Drosophila melanogaster: one gene and its partner. The protein of the gene in region 2 purifies or fractionates together with the protein of the main gene of each other region. This does not show direct contact. Each region holds a gene or a part of one and is shown on either strand. Other genes may lie near its edges.

Region 1 (2,754 bases), on a different chromosome or scaffold from region 2:
TTAATGTGATGCCCAATGACCAAACATCGCTTCGTACATCGTAGCCCTTGGCACGTTCTGGATCAATGCGCTCCGGCTGCACAAATGCATACAATTGCGGTAAAAATGTTGTGAAATCAAATGACAATCATTACCGCCATGTAGGGCCTGCAGCCCGCATCCTTGGTCTTGGCAATAGAGTCGACCAGCTGACCCGAAATACCAAAATCGCACAGCTTTATGTCTCCGCGACGGTGCAACAGAATGTTGCTCGGTTTCACATCCCGATGGATAATCTTTAGCTCCTCCTTCAAATAGTTCAGCGCATTGACCGTGGCCACTGTTATCTTAGCCAGTATAGACTCTGGAATGTGGCGCTGCTGCTTTTCGTAGATGTACTTGTAAAACTTGTCCAAAGAGGTGTCCATCAGCTCCATACAAATCCAGCAGTCACCCTCCTTGAAAAGCGCCCCATAGAACTGAACAATGTAAATGCACTCGTTGGACTTCATGACCACCTCGAGATCCATGAGCAGCTGCTTCTGTTCCTTCTCGTCTACGGTGGATCGAATGCGCTTGACGGCCATCACCTTGTCCAATTTCTTAAAGGTCATCTTGTTGACTGCCCCAAATGCACCGCGTCCAATTTCGCCCTCATCCTCGAGATCGTCTGAAGTAAATGTGTGTGTATTAGCGCCGCCCTCACCAAACTGTAGCTTGCCACAGGCCTGCTGGCGAATTCGCTCCCGGTGACGATCGGCAGCGCTGCTGCTCGATGCTGCCGGCACCGGTGGCACTTGACTGCTGGCCACCGGCGGGGTTTGCTGTGGCTGCTGGGCACCAAAACAGCGGGTCACATGGTTGTGCTGTGATGAGGAACTTGAGCCCGAGGAGGTGGATCCCGAAGAAGTGGACGACGTGGACGAGGGCGGATGGCGTATGCTAAGATTATTCAGGCTTAGCTGATCCGGGGGATTGCGGGAGCGACTGGATCCGGCTGGAATGTGTGGGAAATGGGAGAATTTAGGAGGCTTCATAGATGGCTTATCGCCGCTGCACCAGATTTCCAAACTATGCGTCACCCAGCGAGTATGTGGTCCTCTTCGGCTGCATGTGTATGACCTGCGTGGGCGGTTCGAGACCAAAGGGGTAACTCACTTGCAAACAAATTTTTCGGTCGTTCGGCCATTGTGTGTGGTGGCTGAAAGTATCGATGCGCCTTTGTGTGGCTGTCCTAAGGATGTTTTGTCCGTTTTCTGCAGGCGCCGCGCCCCGAATACAACACGTCGACTTGATGCTCCTTTGGCCCTCCGATCGCCTGGTTACTGGGCCGCCTTTGATGGGCTCTTCGCCGTTTGCAACGCAACTACTTTTTCAGCAATCGAGCGCACTGATATGCACTTTTTCCGCAATTTCGCTAAACATTTACATAAATAGCAACCAAAACTTAAAAGAGCTAGAGATGAAACATTGATTATTTGCGGCCAATCGATAGCCATCGATAGTATGCGCACTAGCTTGCGATAAGCAGTCCTGCAAGGTGCAAAAGTAGTGAGGTGGGTAATAAAACGAATATAAAAATGTCACCTATAAATAATTATTTCTTTAAAACCAAGAGATTTGAGTTTCTATTTTTCACAAATTAATCCCAGCTTTGTTAAAGTTTTTACTAGTTGAAAAGTTACATTTCGTCAATAAGTGACGTCGACGCCTACATAAACCAATCTGCGCCACCTTAAAATCAATGCACAATCACCAGTGATTTAAAACCAGAAAATTAAAACATACATAATCATGTCCAGCGGATTTGTTCGCAGCAGCTACAAATTGTTCGTCGGCAACCTGCCATGGACGATAGGTAGCAAGGAACTGCGGACCTACTTCTCAAAGTACGGGCACGTGGCCAACGCGGAGGTGGTCTTTGACCGGCAACTGGGCCTGTCCAAGCACTATGGCTTTGTGGTTTTCAGCCAACGGGATGCCTTCAACAGCGCCAGCAACCAGAACACCCATTTCCTCGATGGACGAGTGCTCACAGTCCAGCGGGCGAATGAAAGTCCTCAGAGTTAATCAATGAAGAATTTAATGATTTATTGGTTAGACCAAAGGAAAAGCATGAGAAATGTTTGTTAACAGCTTAGTTTTACACAAATGAATGCAGCACTTGCTTCAAATCGTGGCATCTTTGATTCATTTGGGCAAGTAGAACTTGCTGTTGGTGCCCACCACGTCCGCAACATTAGTGTGACCCAGCCGTGTGATCAGCGCCGACAGCTCCGCCTTAATGTCTTCCACAAGAGCGGGTCCCTCGTACACTAAAGCCGTGTAGATTTGGACGTAGGAAGCTCCAGCTTCGATCTTTTCGTATGCATCATAGCCGGAAGCCACTCCGCCGACGCCTATGATGGGAATCTTTCCATCGGTGAGCTGGTACATCTGGGCGATCATCTCTGTGGAGCGGGCCTTGAGTGGAGGACCACTTAATCCGCCAGTTTCCTCGGCCAGCTTGTTCTTTTCGATGTTTTCCCGCGACACCGTGGTGTTTGAAACGATCAGGCCATCCACGCGGCTCTTCTTGCGCTTGATTACCCACACGATGTCCTTCATGTCGTCCAAAGATAGATCCGGCGAAAGTTTCAAGAGTATAGGCACATTCTTGTTCTTATCCAGGGAGGATTTCGTGTCGTTGACCTGTTCCAGGAGCTCTCTTAGCTTCTCCTTGCTCTGCATATCGCGCAGGCCCTTGGTGTTCGGACTGCTCACATTAATGACCAG
Region 2 (5,816 bases):
TCCCTCGATTGGCAAGAGCTTTACAGCGTGGGCCGACGTCGAGGAAGCGGAACCGGCGTCGCCCTGAGCGCCGCTCTCGAGTTTCTCTGGCTCCGGTTTCGGCCTGCGGTCCTGCTTTTTGTCCTTCAGCTGATCCTGTTGATCCTTTAGCTGCGGAAGGACCCGCGTTCGGAGTAGCGGCGAGACGGTGGCCACCGACATGAATACCTCTATTGCGCCCTGCTCATGAATCTGGTTGCCCATCTGGGCCTTCTGCTCATCGGAGACCGGACGTCGGGACAGCCGCTTCATGGTTGGATAGGGAGGGGTTGCAACTTGCACAGATTGAACGCGAATAAAAACTAAAATTTAGATTGGGAGTGGGTTTCGGAGAAGCTGTTAGGAGACTGTTGTATGCTACGAGTGAAAACTTTGTGACCGTTTCGGAGCACAGATTCCAGATGACAATAGGTTTCAAAAGCCAGGCCTACTAGACGTGGCACCAGGACACCCAGAAGCTATAAAAGATCTTTCAGACTTGCAGGTATACCGTCTCGTATTTACTGCACTAATTTATGTGTGTACATACATACCAAGTGTATAACTAAGGATAAGAGCGACGATCTATCTATCTCGTCGCCCGGCTATCTAACGTGGGCGCGCAGGGCGATTGTACTGGGAATTTCAACCTGGTTCACCTGCAGCAGCTGCACAAGGTTGCGAAGGAACTCATGCGACACCTTCAGCTCGTCGTCGGCCTCCAAGCGCTCAAAGAGATCCAACGCCGCCTCGTAGTCGTTGCTACGGCAGAACTGGGCCAACAGGAGGTCGTAGATCTTCTGCTCGTCTATGGTCCGCTGGACACCCCTCACTCCGCGCGCCAGCCGCAGGAGCGTCCGCACAGCGCCCTCCTGTCCCAAGTGCTCGCAATTCTTCACGAGGAGCTCGTGGTTGATGCGGAACTCTGGGTTGATGATCAGCCGGCGCAGCTGTGTCTCCTTTCCGGATTCGGCCAGGGCGAGCAGCAGAGCGCTGTTCATATTGGCCGCTCCGTGGATGCGACTCACAGTCGCAGTAACCACCGCTAGGTGCTGCTGCGCGGACTCGGCCGTGACGCCGGGAAAACGGGTCAGCTCCTGCTCGTCCCCGTTGCCCAGTCGCACCAGCAGGGACAAGAGCTCGAACTGCAGAGGCGTGTGCTTGTGAGTGTTAGCCAGTCGCTGAAACTCGGCCACCGCAGCGTCCAAGTTGCCCTTCAACAGCCACTCGCGGACCACTGGTCCCAGTAGGGCATTTTGCGATTGACAGTAGCCCAGACCCCTGAGGAAGTCCAACCACTCGCGAGTCTGGTTAAGTTGTTTGGAGCTCTCGCCACCTGCATGTGAAGAGGCGGCCAGCTGGCCCACGTTGGTCAGCAATTGCCATACGTTCTTCATCACATAGTCGCCACCGACAACCTTATGCTGCTCCGCGCGTCGCTGGAGCAGCTGCTTTGCGGCCTCCAGCTGCTGGCCTTGGACCAGGAGGGCGGCATAGTCGATCACTTTGTGCTCGTCAATCTGAAAGGCTTAAGAGAGAACGGTATGCGGATTAATGCAGTTCACATCTAGTAGTAAGTTGTTAGGTACCTGGATACATGCTGCTCAGTCGCTCCAAGCTCTCCTGGGCGCGCGGCAAGTCGCGCAGCTTGATGTGTAGGTCGAATATGGAGGCCATCATGCCTGCGCTTTCCTGAACCTTCAGAACTTGGCACTTGGCCAACAGCTGCTGTGCGCGCTCCAAGCGCCCACTGCGCACCGAGAGCTGCAGCAAGCGACGCAACACGCCTCGCGGGTTCAGCTGCTTGGACTCCAGCTCGACTAGGTGGCACTCGAGCTCGTCTATGCTCATGTCGCGCGGGTGCTTGATGAAGCCTCCGTGGAGCGAGACCGTGTCAGCTGGCAGGGCGAGCTGTGGGTTTTTCATCTTCTGCAGCGTTTTGGCCAGATCCTGGATGAGGTCAACGTCATCAGTGGCGTGCCGGACCACGGAGAGTAGAGCTTCGGAGGCAGCGGGTGAGATTTGTAGCTCTAGGCGTCTCAGTTCGTGCAGAAAACGTCGCAACGAGGTGGCATCCTGGCGCAGACGCGTCTGAGGTCCAGTCATTTGCAGCAGCAAGGAGCCCACAAAATCTTCTCCCCGTTTGAGTGCCTTCTGCTGCAGGGCTTGGATCACTTTGGCAAATACCTCGAAACGCTTCGTGGCACGGGCATTGACCGCCAGCGAAGAAAGTGGTTGGAGCAGCGTGGCCAGGTCCAAGCGTGTCGGATACCGATCAAGCAAGTCCAGCACCTCGGACATCTGATGCTGCTGCAGCAAGTGGCTCACAACCGGGCACAGGGTCTGGGAAGGCTTGACCCCCGCCGATTCAAGTGCCTTCACGGCCTCCAAGGGCTGCACCAGGGTTTGGCGCAGGTGGGGAAACAGGTAGTGCCGCAACGTTTCCTCGTCGCACTCAACGCGCAGGCGCCGCATTTCAGAAACCAGGCGTAGCATGCCGCTTTCGCCCTCCCGCCGGTAATGGTGCAAGATCAGGGGCCAGAAGTAATGCGGACGAAGTTCCTCGCCGGCTGCAGATAGATCCTCCAGGCAGCGTAGCGCGGATGATGGCTGACGGCGAAGGGCCAACTCCGCCACCAAATGCAGGGCGCGGACGTTCTGGTTCCGCTGCACTAGTTGACCGGCGAACTGGATTGTTTGGTCCAACGGAACTTGGGCGCGGAAGAACTCCTGCAGCAGAAGTGCACCGTACTCATCCACGTTCTGATTCTGCAACTCGAACTTCGGAGCGGGCAACGCACCTACGAGCTGTATGACGACTTCGGTGCGTCCTTGGTGCACCAGCTGAATGCACAGGCTTCTGATGGCGGGCGGCAGGTCGATACCTGTTAGAAACTCGCGGGGCAGTTCCTTGACAAGCAGTTGGATTAGATCCGTGTCGACATCCTTGCTGGCGAGCAGACCCCGCAGCATCTGGAGCAGCTGAGGGGCGGTGAATCCGTGCTCCACCTGCAGCAGCTCCTTGGCCTGTGCCAACTGACCGTTTTCCAGCAGAGCCTCGAACCAAATGGCCTGAGTGCTGCTGCCTTGCTGTATTCCTGCGGCCCGCATGCTGGCTAGGACGGACTCCGCCCCGGGCAGATCACCGCTGCGGGCGTGGCCCAAAAGCAGGGCGTGAAAGTTGTGCTCCGTGAGGGCGAGGCTGCGCTCGCGCATCTCCGACAAAATCTCGGTGGCCATGCGCATGTTTCCGGCGGCGCCGGCCACGTCCAAAAGAGCGCCGTACAAGGTGGAATCGGCTGCTCCATGGTAGACGGCAATCTCCGCCAGCAACGAGCGATAGTCAGTCAGAGGCAAACGGTTCTGGCGCAGCACCTGGAGCTTCGTGTGGTAATGTGCCAGCGTGGGCTGGCCCAACTTGATCAGTTGAGCCCAGAGTCCCTTGAAGAGCTGAAGACGCTCCTGGCTGCTCTGAGCAGGAAGCAGTTCGGGCACACAGGACCCTAGAAGGAAGTGCACCTCTTCGATGCCGACTCCTAGCGGCGACGCAGACTCCTGCAGGAGCTCCAGCAGGCGCTGGCAGTGCTCAAAGTTGATCAGATCGTGCTGCCGGTAGTACGCCTCCAGCTGTGTCCACGCATCCGCCACGCTGGCTTTCGGTTTTTCAGAGGAGGAGGCGGGGCGCCGGCTTCTTCGCTCCACCGCACTGAGGACGCCACCCGTTCCCAGGGATCGCATCTGGAGCAGCGAGAACGGCACCGCTGGCGCCGCAGGCTTCGTTGCATAACGGAATGCCAGGCTGGCGGAGGAAGCGCTGCGTCCTGGCAGATGGCCCAAGCGCTGCCTGCAGAGCCACACGTTCCGCAACAGTCGTGCTCGCTGCATTTTGCCCAAGTTAATTAATCTTCCCCAAAATTACGAGATTTTACTTTCGCAGTTTTGCGGCGAGCAACAAAAAAAAAACAACACGCGCCGGCAATCAGCTGTGCCTTCCAGTCGAAAGATATCGAAAACAGTGCTGCCCATCTGTATATGCATACCCGTTTCCGTTGCAGATTTTGATTTAAAGTTTAAGTTAAGTCATGGAGCTCCAATGAAAGGAATGAAAAGAAATACCATGGGGACATGTCATTATTTTATAATCGCTATTTATTTACTTAATCGATTCAACGGATCTGGAAGCGCAACCCTACAGCGAGGATCTGGCCAAGCGGCGTCGCTGCGCAGCCAGCGGAGTGCCCTCCTCGCGCAATTCGGCCAAGAGGGAGTCCTGCCAGGGACGAAACAGGAGGCGCTTTGTCGCCAACAGGGAGGCGGAAGGCAAGCGCAAGTATTGGTCGACGCGGTGCCAAAACTCCTGCGGCTCTCGCACCACACTGGCCACAAGGCCACACTGGAGGGCAATGCTGGAGCTCGCTTGATCGCCCAGACGAAGCAGCCAGTGGACGTGTGGCACAGTCCAGCCGGGACCCACCTTGGTGCAGGGATCCAGGTGCGAGAAAGCGGGCACAAAGGCAGATAACTCCGTTGCGAAGACCAGATCGCACAGGCTGCACACGCTCAGGCCCAGACCGACGCACTGCCTCTCCACAAAAGCCACTAGGAGTTTGCGGTGCACAAGCAGCTTCTTGGCCAGCGAGCGCATCACAAAATTGGCCGCCTTCTCATGGATGTACTGCTCCTCGGCATCACCACTGCCCACAGCTTCTTCGTGGGAAGCGGTACGCCTACTCCTATTCTCCAGACCCTGTTTGAGAGCCAACGGTTCCATCTCACCGCCACATGCTGCAGAAAACTCGCCCGAGAGCACGACCACCTTAACGGCGGCGTCTGCACTCGCCAGGTCCAGGGCGCGCATCAGCTCGTAGAGGGTTCGGCGTTGCCAGCGCCGCTGGAAGCGTATGTGGAGCAGCCCAGAACGCTGTTCGACGACCAGCTCCCTGAAGTGCTTGCAGCTCTCGTTTGTGGCCATCGCTGAAGACTGCGTGATAGAGACTGTGGCCAAGTGATAGAAGACAAGAGCCGTAAGCATCTGCGCTTATCACGCGGTCAAAGTGCAGGCTTCTTTTCTCCGCGCAACTGCGCTCCTCCGCATCTCGAAATTACCTTCCATTCACGCATCTCTTAAACTCAATTGGGGGCGCCATTCCAACAACAGTTTGCTTTCATTGGTGTGTATGCTAAATATATGCTATCTTTGTGTTAATCGTTGTGTCCAGGCTGGGCCATCAGATGGCTTATCTATGTTTCTCTCAATCTGCTAGTTGCGCAATATAACTCTTTCAGTCTGAGATTGTGGGCCTTCAAACTCTCGAAGTCGGGGGGACTTTAATATATATGTATATACGTAGGTTTAATGCTTAAAATGTACAAGTGCCTCTTAGACACACCCTTCGGAATAAATAACTAATGGGCTACAATCAGTGCTCGTCCAGGTGCGAGAACTTTTTGCGCAGCTTCTCGCGCCTCTCCTTCTTCACATGACGCCAGGGCTTGGCCGCCGGATCATTGCCGGCTACTAGGGACCCGTCGTTGGCCAGGCGCACGTTAGGGAAGTTAGTGCGTCCTTTGACGTGGGCGTGCGTAGGCTTGTCGGAGAAGAATTGGTTGTCTAGCTCCTTGGACGTGCTTTTGTTGATCTGCGGAAAACGCGATCAGTTAGCAAAGGAATCACGTCTAGTGCAAAGGGCAAATCTCACCCGCATGGCTCGCTGCTGTTGGCCGGGCAGCTGTGATTCCTCGATGACCCTGCGCTGGCGTTCGGGAAAGGTGTGATACTCGGTCTGCGGTACAGAGGG

What was found.
Region 1: the proteins of Lrpprc2 (region 2) and SLIRP2 purify together in Drosophila melanogaster (affinity purification with mass spectrometry, with the first as the bait; 2 studies listed by BioGRID). This does not show direct contact.

What each region holds. Positions count from the first base shown.
Region 1 is NT_033777.3:8,649,344-8,652,097, forward strand, and holds SLIRP2 (SRA stem-loop interacting RNA binding protein 2), read left to right. Parts: upstream 1-1,740; 5' UTR 1,741-1,773; coding exon 1,774-2,049; 3' UTR 2,050-2,150; downstream 2,151-2,754. Other genes in the region: Mkk4 (MAP kinase kinase 4), read right to left, coding at 1-76, 135-976, 1,138-1,168; Dhod (dihydroorotate dehydrogenase), read right to left, coding at 2,170-2,754.
Region 2 is NC_004354.4:1,456,656-1,462,471, forward strand, and holds Lrpprc2 (Leucine-rich pentatricopeptide repeat containing 2), read right to left. Parts: upstream 3,963-5,816; 5' UTR 3,904-3,962; coding exon 1,608-3,903; intron 1,547-1,607; coding exon 624-1,546; 3' UTR 520-623; downstream 1-519. Other genes in the region: CG14785 (uncharacterized protein), read right to left, coding at 1-291; CG14787 (uncharacterized protein), read right to left, coding at 4,208-4,990; Ns3 (nucleostemin 3), read right to left, coding at 5,439-5,657, 5,718-5,816.